Linked DNA regions of Drosophila melanogaster. The protein of the gene in region 2 interacts with the protein of the main gene of each other region in a pairwise test. Each region holds a gene or a part of one and is shown on either strand. Other genes may lie near its edges. The genes, in order: CG15282, CG11007, whe and CG13919.

Region 1 (2,988 bases), on a different chromosome or scaffold from region 2:
TCGCCGCTCGGACTTCCCTGTTCAAATCATTGTGAACGTTTGTGTTTATAGGGGATTTTTTCTGTTGTTGAAAACGTTCAAGTATCTGGGGTTGACGGGCCCACTAAAAATACAGGTTTGCAATCAGCTCTTCTTGGCGTATGCTCTTCGCTAATCAAATTAGGTTTTTTGTTAAATTATTGCTGTCAGAACATTTGGTTATTTCACAATTTTGCATGAGTCAGTATCTGCCTTTGGTTTTTATGCCAACATCATTTGCGAATTATTCAAGTGTTTGCAATTAATGTTGTTATAGCACAAAAATGTCATTAACCCATTAAGTGATTTTCGATTAGCTAAATAAAAACAATTTTTTATGTTGAAACACAAATTTTTAATTTAATTTAATAATTCATTTTTCTTGATGTTGCTTATGTCCAAAAAAATAAACCCAAACGTATTTATAAGCAAGCGAAATAAATGAAGGTTACTCATTAATAAAATCTCTGTCGATCTAAAGGCCTACAATAAGCCATTGTCAAAACATGTAAATGAGTATTTAAAAACAAAAACTGTTTTGTGTTTGTTATACTAATACGTTCAAATAATTTATTTTAATTTTTAGTCGAGGAACTAAAGTAACAGCCTTAGAAGAAGCCTCCTTGTTGCTGCTGCTGCTGCTGCTCGATTCCTCCAAATCCGCCGAATCCACCGAAGCTTTCCTGCTGCTGTTGCTGTTCTCCGAAGCCTCCGAAACCGCCGAATCCTTCTTGCTGCTGCTGTTGGCCACCGAATCCTCCGAATCCACCGAATCCTCCATATCCGAATTGAGGAAGCGCGGAAGCAACGGCGATAAGGGCCACAAAAACGATCACCTGAATGGCCGTTTATTATTTTTATAAAGTCCTTAATCCCTGCGAGGTGTAGCTCTGGTGGCCAAACTTACCAAGAATTTCATATTGAATTTGAAAATGAATTCAATTTGTACTAATATCCCAGAAGATGAGGATGCTTCGATGTTGCACTCGATACTGTGCCCTTTCTGTCACGTCTTTCTCTATTTATACGATTTTTTTGAATTCATATAATGTTTGAATTTCGGAGGTTCTTTACCCGCACTGAAATAAAAACTTGTCCCAGACACTGGACCAGACGTGGGGGCTTTCCTCACAGGTGACCAGCGTTTCTCTTCCAATCCGGTTTTGAATTTGTTGTGGTTATTGACCGGTTTCCATTTTTTTTTAGGGGAACAGGCGCCAGGTGCGTGGCTTTTGATATGAATTTTAATAGTTTGCCAATTTATATTTAAATAGTATTTTTACTGAATTTATGACTAAGCTATTCAGTTTCTAGAGGCACGTTTCCAAGAATCAATATATTGAACCCAAACTAGACGTTGTTGATGCTACTTGACGTTGTTGATGATGCCTTTGTTTCTGGGGTTCTCAAAACAAATTTGCTTCCTTACTCTAATGTTTACCATAGAATCACATTAATGTGTTACGTGTATATATAATTATTGAATCTTACTGAGCTGGACATTTGAACAAATCACCCCTTCCAATTGCCACATTTATATCCGGGCAAAAGTAAATGCAAATGAGCGTAAAAAAAACATATTTTTTTCAATTCGGTTACATTTCGTTGAGATAAACAAATTCCATTGACATAATCAAAAGAAACTTTGTTGTTTTCTTATTTCGTTGGCGTTCACTTCAAGAGCGGTCCAAACGAAGCGAACCAAGCTCACTCAATAGATAAGTGTCTCGATGGGGAATCACCTGCAGCGAATGGGGAATACTGGCGACCGGAGACCGGAGACCCTGGAAATTTTACCGTACCTCGACGAGGGTGAAGTGAAATTGCATTTGGTGTGCGGCGCCAGCGGCAATCGAGTTTGGCAATACGTGTTGCCTTTAACTTGGCTCTTAACCCTGCCATCCGAAAAGAGGGTGATGCGAAAGACTGCGACGACGAAGACGGTGCCTTTTGGCATACTTCAGTGGAGCGCATAAAACCCTAAATGAATTTATTTGGCTCATTTAAAGCAGCTAATTTATTTTTATTTCATCGAATTTGTGTTTAGTCGGGCACCACAAGTCCCTCTTCCCGGTTGGCAAGTAAGCTGTTTAGTGTGGGTACTAGTGACTTTATCCGTTTAATGTTCAAGTAACTTACAACGCAAACTCGCTCAACTTAACTTAAATCAAAGTAAACCCTCTACTTCAAATAAACCACCGCTTCAAAACTAATCATATAGCCGTTGCTTTTTGGAAATGTGCAGTAATTTTGGTAAAATGTCTAATGAACCCTTTTCGGGAGGCCTAGGCCCTTAAAATTGCAGAGCTCCGGGGAAAACACTCTGGGCCAACGTCTGCGTCGCGTGTCAAAGTTGCAACATTCAACATTCAACGCTCTTTGACTCCTTTGATGGTGGCCCAACACGACACCCAAAGCCGTGCACTGAAATTTGTTCAAATTCATTTCAATTACCGTCAATTTTCAATAATTTTGTTCAAATTATATTCCATTAGGTTCCATAAGTTCAAAAAAAAAACACTTTGCATAAACATAATTAGCCTTTTGCTTACAACGCAACATTTTTGGGACATTCTTTGCTCTTTTAAACTTTAATCGAGCTGAATTTATAATTAAATATTTGCGTCACCGATAGGTAAACAACAAACTGTTGACTACGTTAGTTTCTTGATTTACGTTAAGTTGGTATTGGCGAATGAAAGAAAGGTTAAATAAAATAGTAAAAAAAAAACATTTAAACTATTTAAGATACACATTCTTCGTTATATATAGTTCAGTAGTACCCTACGTTTCCAACCAAGCTGTTTTTTTTTTGATATAACTACGTTTAATTTTAAACTTTTGGCACTAGTAACTTGGCTTGACTTCTTTGGCACCCCCGTGCGACGCAATGTCTTAGGTTATTTGGGTGGCTAGCAATGCATTAGCCCAGTCAGAATGTTATGCCCCACCTGCAGGTGGGTGCAAATT
Region 2 (3,700 bases):
CAATTGCCATGGCGAATTTAAATTTTCCGCAAATAAAACGGCCGTGTGAGACAATCGCATTATTTACCATATACAATTCACGTAAAATGCAATGGCCATTTTCATGCCGTTTCAATGAAAGTAAAGAAAAATACAAATATTAACCACAAAGGCCTTGCTCACATCTGTGGGGGGTGGTTGTGGGCGGTGTGCGGTGGGTGGTGATTGGTGTGCAGTCGCCTGTATTTATGCATTTAAATTCGTCCGTTTCTCTATACGTATGTGTGTTCATATTGAATGGATAAAAGGGATTTGCGTTTATTTCGTTCTGCGTCTGGCCTGTTGGGTTCTTATGTATATATATATATATATATCCATATACGATCTGTCTATATGGCCGATGTCTGCGGGGCCATTTCGGAACAGAACGCAACACGCCGGAAACATTTTTGTTGTGCCATTTGCATTGCCATACAATTTTGCTCAACACATTGGCAGCAACAACGGGCCCATTTGGTTTTATATTTCATAAACCGGGGGGATACGACGAAGGTTTCTGTTTTAAGCGGCAAGTCAGAACGTATAAAATACAATAAATATGTCATAAAATTGTGGGTTGTCACAAACACTTTATATACATTTGTACCGAAAACCAGTATGGGCACCTTTCTGAAACTATATATTCATTCTCTATATTTTCACTATTTTACTAGCTATTTGTATACAGCGTAAGTTCTTTATTACATTCTTTCAATTTACGCTTGTCCAGTCCATCTTAATATTTACTTGTTCTTAAACGAGCACCGGAAATGATCGTTTGAGCTGTGCTAATTGAATGAAATGTTAGACTCGGCTGGGAATTAAAAAAGAACTGCGTATTTTCGTTGACTCATTTCACATTTTTAAATATATTTGGTACCTGGTGATTAGCTACAATTTATGCAAATGCAAGATCATACAAATATTTTCTACAATGGCATCGCGACGAGAGCACGTCTGAGTTTAGAATGCAAATATTAGTGCAATTGTACGTGTCTTTGGCGGTGGCAGCTCCTCAATAAGTTAAAATAAACTATGAACTAAACGAATAACAGTTATTAGCACGTGCACGCAGAAATGAGATGGCACCAGTGGTGGACAGGACAGCCTACTGGACCTTCTTGGCCTCCTTGGGCGCAATGGGTAGTCGTTCGATGGCCTCCTTGTACAGCTGGTTAAGGCCAAAGGTGGCGCGCACATTGTCGCTGGAGAAGAAGAACTTTTGCAGTTTACCCTTGGAATCGACGCAGGGCCTGCGGTCCGTCTCCTTGCCCTGTTGGAACAGGATCACAGTTGGTAGCTGTCGGGAGAAGCTGCTGTCCGAGATGCGATACTTTTGGGCCACGTCCGGAAAGCGTCCAATGTCAATCTTGCCGAACTTCAGGTGGTCCGTGTTGTACTCGGCGGAGAGCTCAGCAAAAACGGGGGCGAAGTTCACGCAGCTGGGATTCCACACCGTGTAGAAGCAGATCAGCCAGCTGGTTCGCTTGTCCCTGGCCAATTCCTCCTCGAAGACCTGTGCGTTGCGGAAGTAGGTGATGTGCTCGGGTCCGCGATACGAGGGCTCCGGCAGCACCATGCCCACCAGGACGCATAGAAGCAGAAAGCCCAGGCCGTAGCGGAAGTCCGCGTAGGCCCACAAAATGGCGTTGGCCACTTTGGTGTAGAGGAACGACGAGGCCAAGTAGTTAATCATGGTGACACTGCCCGTTTTGCGTGACCGTATCATCACCACGATTAGCAGGAAGAACAAGATTTCCACCTCACGACTGTCCAGGTCGCATGCTTCATCCTCTCCGGCGAGAATAAATAGGCGGGTGCAGATGAACTGCGTCTTTTTGGCCAAAAGGTACGATATGGCCAGGAGTATGTTAACCCAGTAGTATGGCTTGGCCAGCAGAGCCATCTGCTTCTTCCACGTCATCTCTGCGTCCGGGGGCTGAATGCGCTGATCTGGGTCACGATTTTAATTAACAATTTCCCGAGTTTTTCTTTTCTTGCTTTTGACAGCCAATTGTTAATTTTAGCCTCGCCGTTGACTAGAAATTAGCAGCCTAGTTGTCTGGCACGGGCGTTGCCACCTGATAAAAGAACAGTGGCACTCTTGTCAGTGCTGGAAATGGTATTAGTTCGTTGGCGCCTTTTCAAATTCAAAATCATCAATTAACAGTTTGCCTTTCTTAAACGTTCTTTGATACGTTTTATTTACTTATATGCATTATTATCTTACAAGTATTTAGTATTTAGTATTTAGCATTTTTTTTAAATGATAATTAATCAAAAGTTAAAACCATAAACAGAACTTGGGACAACCATATTTGTTTGCCCGAAAACCAACCGAAACTGATAAGCGAGTTATTGTTACATCAGCATTTTGCTAAAGTCATTGAGAGATTGTTGACCTAGCACACAAAGGCCACTGCAAAAAAAAGGTAAAAAAAAGGCATCGAGGATCTTCATTATCGGCACACACGCCGAGTTCAAATCTGCGAAAAAGCTTGGCTCTCTACGTGATCTCAGACGCTCGTGGCTTCCATCAGTCGCCTTATCACCCAAATATTATTTTGGCCTTTTTTTTTGTAGTTCCTAAATTAAATGTGTTTGGAACTGTGTGAATACTGTGAGAATTTTGTACCCACTTCATAGAGCATCACCAGTATTATCGCCATCGTGGCTGACTCTCCGCGTTGTGCAAAGATTAATTTTTTTGTAGTAAACACTGTGCGCGTCACTGGACTAAACGATTTATTTTTAATCGTATTATTGAGACCAATTTACGAGGGTCATCTCCATGATCCCCATCGGATCGATCACCCACCTCTTTACTGGTTTCACTAGTAGGCCGTTCTTTGTTTATACAGCGATTATTTTATGTTCAATACACTGGCAAATAAAGTGAGCTTGCTTCTATTTATAGAATATTTTCAACTGTGTTATTAGTAACCTCCTTATCGAATCAAACAACTTTCTCGTGGCTTTATATTTAAATTCAACCAATCATTCACTTTATAGTAAAAAAAGTATTAACAAAGACACTAGAATAAGACAATAGAATAAGAATTCTAGTGTCTTTGGTAATAATATATTAAAAACAATTAACTTAAAACAAAATAAGATTTTTTCAAGTGCACTGTTTTGTACAACTTGATAGAAATGAAATAGGGAATCAATACAGAAAATATTTCGAAAATCCGAGATCATGACTAATCAAAGTCAAATCTAAGGTGTTGATGCTTTTGCACCTTGTCTGCGCCAAAACAAAAATGAAGTGAAAATTTCAGTAAACAACGTGCACTTAGGTCAGTTTTTAATAATATTATAATCACAAATGCCTTTGCCAGCATGCTATAGTGTGTTGGCAGCCGGATTAATCTGGTTTGGAATAAAGTCTCGTAAGATTGTCAGCCATTTGAGTACAGGGACACTCGTGATGGGAACGAGAGCCCTTCATCTTGGCTGCGGCTAAAAAGCAAAACTGGTCTATAGATCCAGGGCTCTGATAGCCATATCAAGTACACAAATCTACTTCCCAGCCCCATCGAAACTTCCCGTAGAGCTTGGAAACAAATAGGCTTGTGTGTGGAAATGACAAAAAAAAAGGCAAAACCAAAACAATGACAACTGCAACTGATAAGTGGCACAAAATGGCGATCACTTGCCGGCTTTATAATCGCGCTATCAA
Region 3 (2,921 bases), on a different chromosome or scaffold from region 2:
GTACGTTCCGGATGGATATGGATGCGGATGCGAACGAACGAGGATGCGGATGATGCGAATGAAGATGCGGAGGTGGGGCAGGCGATCCCATGACCATGCGAACCGGACTTCGACACCAGACACTAAATGCCTCATCAGCATTCCGGTGAGTGTTTATCTGAGGGTGTGAGTGGATTTGCGTTCGGGTTAATCAAAATGTGACCGATGGCAACGACAGCTGACCGCAAATCAAGGGAACGTCCGGGCGGCCAATTACCCCAATAATCAGAACCCGTTGGGAAATCTTTCTAATCGTCCTTGGCAGCAGTCCTGTGGACTGCTACTTGGTATAGATAACTACTAGCTAATAGCTGGCATGTGAAAAATCAGCTAATATCTATATCCGTATCCTTTAAGCTCTCATTAAATTTTTTAGCACACGAATAAGAAATTAAGTTTAGATGAACTGATGGTACAGAAAATGTAATTTATATCTGAAGAGCCATATATCAATCAAGCCATAATTGAAGCGACCGCCAATTCTTGAGGTTATAACGATTATCCTGTTCCCTCCGATTGAACTCAGAAATGAATCCAGACATCTAGAGCTTTGTATCGCATCCTGCGAGTCCCTGTCGTACACCCATGCTCTCCATAAAGCTACCACATAACGGCAGCCACATAGGAAAAGTGGAAAGTGCGGTGCTGAAGTGGAATATCCAGTCCACCGAGCTGGTTTTAGAGCGTCGAAATTGCCTTTTTATTGACAATTCACAGCACGCGCCGTTGAAACAGATCATCAAAGGTTATTACGACTACAGAAAAGGTCCTTTTGTTGCTGTTGTAAATAGATTCATAAGCAACACTACATGCCGGCAATTGCGAGACAGGAAAATAAGCGAAAAGAAATCCTGCGAGTGAAAGTGTTAACACTTAGGGTAAGCTATACACTCGCTGCAAGGATACTATATGTGGATATTCGAGAGTTGGTGCGTGCACTTCTCCGCGGGATAAAGGCAAATTTCAGTCTGAATGTCAAAGTTTGAGCCTGGCAGTACTTTGAAATATTCATAAGAACGAACACTAAGAAAAACAGGGTTAAAGTTAGCTCTCAACTACGATAAATAAAAAAATGTATGCTGGCTAAAAAAAAGAGCACGAAATAACGAAATTTAATGCAAGGTCCTGAAAATAGGCTCGTGTTGCAAAAAACCGGAAAGCAAGAAGCCGAAGCTCAATGTTGAAACATTTGTTTAGTACCAGAGATATGAATTTCCAAGTAGAACTCACACACGGTCATAAAGCAATAAAGCGGAATCATGTGCAGAAATTTTTATAAGTTAGGTGTATCATCCAAGTGGCAAATGCTCCAGGATCTTAGAAATGCGCGGAGTGTGGGATTTGTGGGGGCGAGACAAGTGCAAGTACTTTCCACTTTTTTTGGCCAAATCCCAGCAAAGAGCTTAAGGTTTCAGCTCAATTGTTTTGCCCGACTTTATTTCATTGCCATTTTTATATTTCCCCATCTTGGGTGTGCCGAGAAAAGCTTTAAGCTAAATCAAAATGCATATTTACGGAAAAGAAAAATCTATGAAACAGAAATCTTATAGTTAGATACTTTGCTAAAATAAAAAAGAAACGAAAAAACCTAAAGCTGTTCCAATAAATCTACATTTTATTCATTAGATCACCCGGAATAGCTTTAGGAAGTAAGTATAAATATAATGAATCTAAAGTTTCACAACCACGAGGTTAGTTTGTTTAATATTTTAAGATCACCAGTTGGCCAAGTATTTCCATTATGAAGGGTTTACACAACTTCACTTGGGTCATCGCTGTTTGCACAATGCTTCTGTTTGTCCATCGAAAACATAGAATTGCAAAACACCTGCAATAGATCCGATTCCGTAGAGATCTCCGAGGTATATATAGGGCTCGGGTGCAGTTGGTGAAGTCAATTGAATTTGCTAAGTCAATCATCTACAAAATCAAAATGCGTGTAATCTTCCTCATCGTTGTGCTCGCCATGGTGGCTCTGGCTGCTGTCCAAGGACGTCGTCCTCCAGGACTTCCGCAGGGAGGTCTGGGACCACTTCAGGGCTCTGGAGGACTCCAGCCGCCGCAGGGAATACCTCAGGGACCTCCCCAGGGACTCCCACAAGGACCTCCCCAAGGTGGCAACTCATCCTCCTCCGAAGACTCTTCCTCCCAGGAGAGCTCCAGCGAGTCCTCCAGTGAGGCGTCCGCCTAGAAACTCGATCGCCGAGTCCTTCATGTAAAAACATTCAAAAATCTTTAAATAAAGATATATATTCTGCTTATTTCAATATATAAAACCGTCCACCGATTCCATTAACTGCACCGATTTCCATTTCGAACTCCGAGTAATGGTTGCGTTGCTCCTGCCCGAGGAATGGAAATGGAAATGGGCCTGGGTGTGGGTGTGGGGGCGTGTCTCAAATCGGTTGCCTAAATAAGAAATCATTTTATTTGAAAAGTTTCCCTTTGGCACGCCCCCTCCAGCTGCCACCCCACTTTTTGGAAGGCAGAAGACGGCGACGTCTGCGTTTGGCGACACCAGCAACATCGGGCGAAACAAAAGCAACAAGGGCAACAGCGGTACAACAAAGCGAAGACACCAACAATAAGCTGAAGCAGCTGAAGGCGTTAGGAAGTACCCACACGACTTGGAAATACCTATTGTACGTATGAATTAAAAGCAAAAAAGAACAGCATAAAATATTACTTTCAAAGAGCGTAAAGCTACGTAACTAACAAGGCAACTAGATAATAAGCTATTAAGATAACAACTATTTGTTAAATGGCTTTAAATGATTAGGTACAAATCAAAGGATATTTCGAAATGATAATTGTGACAACTGATAAATTATGCAACTGTATAAAAACCACCGATAACTGGTTTCAAAAAATTAAATTTATAT
Region 4 (2,735 bases), on a different chromosome or scaffold from region 2:
GATGACGAAGATGGCACTGGAGACTTTTTCTCCCTGAATTCCGAGCAAAAGCTGCCTGAGGTGAGCAGCAACGAGATTAGCGCTCTAGTGGCCAAGCGAGCGGCCAAGATGGTGGAAGCCAGTAGCAAGTACCTAGAGGAGGTAGCCGAGAAGGAAGCAGCCGAAGCAGAAGCCGCCCGACTTCAGGAAGAGCAGTCTCAGATTGCACAAAAGCGCTACCATGAGCAACAGTTAAACGCAGAGGCCATGGACGCATTGGTGGGCAAAAATGCCAAGCGCCGGCGGAAGGAGGCCAAGGAGATGCAGGTGATCGACATATCTGGGTCTCAGGTGCTACCTGATCGCGAGGAATGGATGCGATCGGCTCTGGCTTCGTCCACCACCTTCCAACCGACCGGCGTGCTGACGGACGAGGAGCCGGTGGCAGGGACTCGGCGCAAGCACCAGATCACCTACCTGGCGCACAAGGCGAAGGCCAACGAAGCCGAGCTGCAGGCCATGTGGTCGGCCAACCGGCAGACCCGTCGGGCCACCCAAAGCAAATACGGCTTTTGAGTTTTCACTTTATGTACACCTAATCCTACAATATATGCTTAATATTACTGTATCCAGCCCTCTCGTTTTCCCAGCCTGCTGCCAACATAGAAGATGGCGGTGCTCAGCAGCAGGATGACCGGGGCAACGGTCACGTATATGGGAATCTGTTGCGGGTACTCCAGCGTTAGGCAGATCATCACTTGGGAGGCGATGGTCAGCAGGACGCCGGCAATGTTCCATTTGTAGAGGAACAGGAGATCCGTCAGGCAGGTTAGGTTCCGCCACTTGCGGATAAATTTAATGATCACGTAGATGATAATGATCACATCGAAGAACCAGAGTGGCGTAAAGGTGACGAACCAATTCCAGGTGGTGCGTGGGTCCAGGCGGAGACACAGAAGAATCAGGAAGACCAGGACGATAAACCAAGTGAAGAGCGCCCGGTGTGCCAGTGTCATCTTTGTCACTTATTTATATATTTTCCATGGTATTACAGAAAATAAACAAAGCGAAGTTACCGTGAATAGAATGCACTTTGTCCAGTGCTGTAAAACTACGATTACAGTGGTCACTAAAAGTGTTCGTAGAAATACATTTACCAACTCAATTTTCGAATATTATTGACGAAGATTAAATATATTCAAAAATATCACGTAAAATCTGTATATTTAACTATATAAAGAAGACTGGAGAGCATGATAATTCATTCATATTCATGTGTGTACTTTTGAAAACTTATGGTTCCCAGTGTATGCACATCTGCCAACGCTGGCAACACTGACTGGGTCGCGAAGAAGAAGATAATTGACGTGTCACAATTTCGACGATTGGTTGGTGTTTTTCATAAAATTAATTGTTGGCAGTATATTACGTGTTACTTGTAGCGTATCAATAAAATGGGTTTGTTCTAACACCCACCTCTTGATGTTTTGATACAGGCAAGTGCTCGAACCAGCAAAAAAAGGGCGCTTGACGGATAAGCCGACACCTAGAAGTGCATCCAATTTGAGACACCTACAGGCAGAACAGAAAAAGTGCCACCATGCTGACCAACTTCGAGTCGAAGTCGGCGAGGGTGAAGGGCCTCTCCTTCCACCCTAAGCGCCCCTGGATCCTGGTCAGCTTGCACAGCGGCGTCATCCAGCTGTGGGACTACCGGATGCACACGCTCCTCGAGAAGTTCGACGAGCACGACGGACCGGTGCGAGGCGTGGCCTTCCACCAGCAGATGCCGCTCTTCGTCTCTGGCGGCGACGACTACAAGATCAAGGTGTGGAACTACAAGCAACGCCGATGCATTTTTACCCTCCTGGCCCATTTGGACTATGTGCGCACGGTGGCTTTCCACCACGAATACCCATGGATTCTGAGCGCCTCCGACGATCAGACCATACGCATCTGGAACTGGCAGTCGCGCAACTGCATCTGCGTGCTGACGGGCCACAACCACTATGTGATGTGCGCCCAGTTCCATCCCACGGAGGATCAGATCGTTTCTGCTTCACTCGATCAGACGGTGCGCGTGTGGGACATTTCGGGGCTGCGTAAGAAGAACGTGGCTCCCGGGCCCGGTGGGCTTGATGACCACCTAAAGGGTCATCCGGGTGCCACTGATCTGTTTGGCCAAGCAGATGCCGTGGTCAAGCACGTGCTCGAGGGCCACGACCGTGGCGTCAACTGGGCCAGTTTCCATCCCACCCTGCCGCTGATTGTCTCCGGTGCCGATGATCGCCTTGTGAAGTTGTGGCGCATGAACGAGTACAAGGCTTGGGAGGTCGACACCTGTCGCGGTCACTACAACAACGTGTCCAGCGTGTTGTTCCATCCCAGGCAAGACCTGATTCTCTCCAACGGCGAAGATCGCAGTATTCGCGTCTGGGACATGACCAAGCGCCAGTGCCTCTTTACATTCCGGCGGGACAACGAGCGCTTCTGGATACTTACAGCGCATCCGACCCTGAATCTGTTTGCAGCTGGCCACGATGGAGGTTAGTTGATTTCTTTTAGGAATAGGAATTTTTTGTAATGATACATATTCTTTCAGGTATGGTGGTCTTTAAACTGGAGCGAGAGCGTCCTGCATATGCTGTCCACGGGAATATTCTCTACTACGTCAAGGAACGTTTCCTTCGCAAACTGGACTTTACCACCACTAAGGACACTGTGGTTATGCAGCTTCGACCAGGCAAGTCGCCGGT

Evidence for each region.
Region 1: the proteins of CG11007 (region 2) and CG15282 interact in a two-hybrid assay, tested with the Drosophila melanogaster proteins (one large-scale study listed by BioGRID).
Region 3: the proteins of CG11007 (region 2) and whe interact in a two-hybrid assay, tested with the Drosophila melanogaster proteins (one large-scale study listed by BioGRID).
Region 4: the proteins of CG11007 (region 2) and CG13919 interact in a two-hybrid assay, tested with the Drosophila melanogaster proteins (one large-scale study listed by BioGRID).

Annotation. Positions count from the first base shown.
Region 1 is NT_033779.5:14,710,691-14,713,678, reverse strand, and holds CG15282 (uncharacterized protein), read right to left. Parts: upstream 1,209-2,988; 5' UTR 1,093-1,208; intron 1,037-1,092; 5' UTR 938-1,036; coding exon 926-937; intron 855-925; coding exon 627-854; 3' UTR 561-626; downstream 1-560.
Region 2 is NT_033778.4:19,501,430-19,505,129, reverse strand, and holds CG11007 (uncharacterized protein), read right to left. Parts: upstream 2,063-3,700; 5' UTR 1,943-2,062; coding exon 1,127-1,942; 3' UTR 536-1,126; downstream 1-535.
Region 3 is NC_004354.4:21,401,769-21,404,689, reverse strand, and holds whe (what else), read left to right. Parts: upstream 1-1,917; 5' UTR 1,918-1,972; coding exon 1,973-2,230; 3' UTR 2,231-2,351; downstream 2,352-2,921.
Region 4 is NT_037436.4:1,643,802-1,646,536, reverse strand, and holds CG13919 (uncharacterized protein), read right to left. Parts: upstream 1,071-2,735; 5' UTR 996-1,070; coding exon 600-995; 3' UTR 556-599; downstream 1-555. Other genes in the region: CG17249 (uncharacterized protein), read left to right, coding at 1-555; alphaCOP (coat protein (coatomer) alpha), read left to right, coding at 1,580-2,525, 2,582-2,735.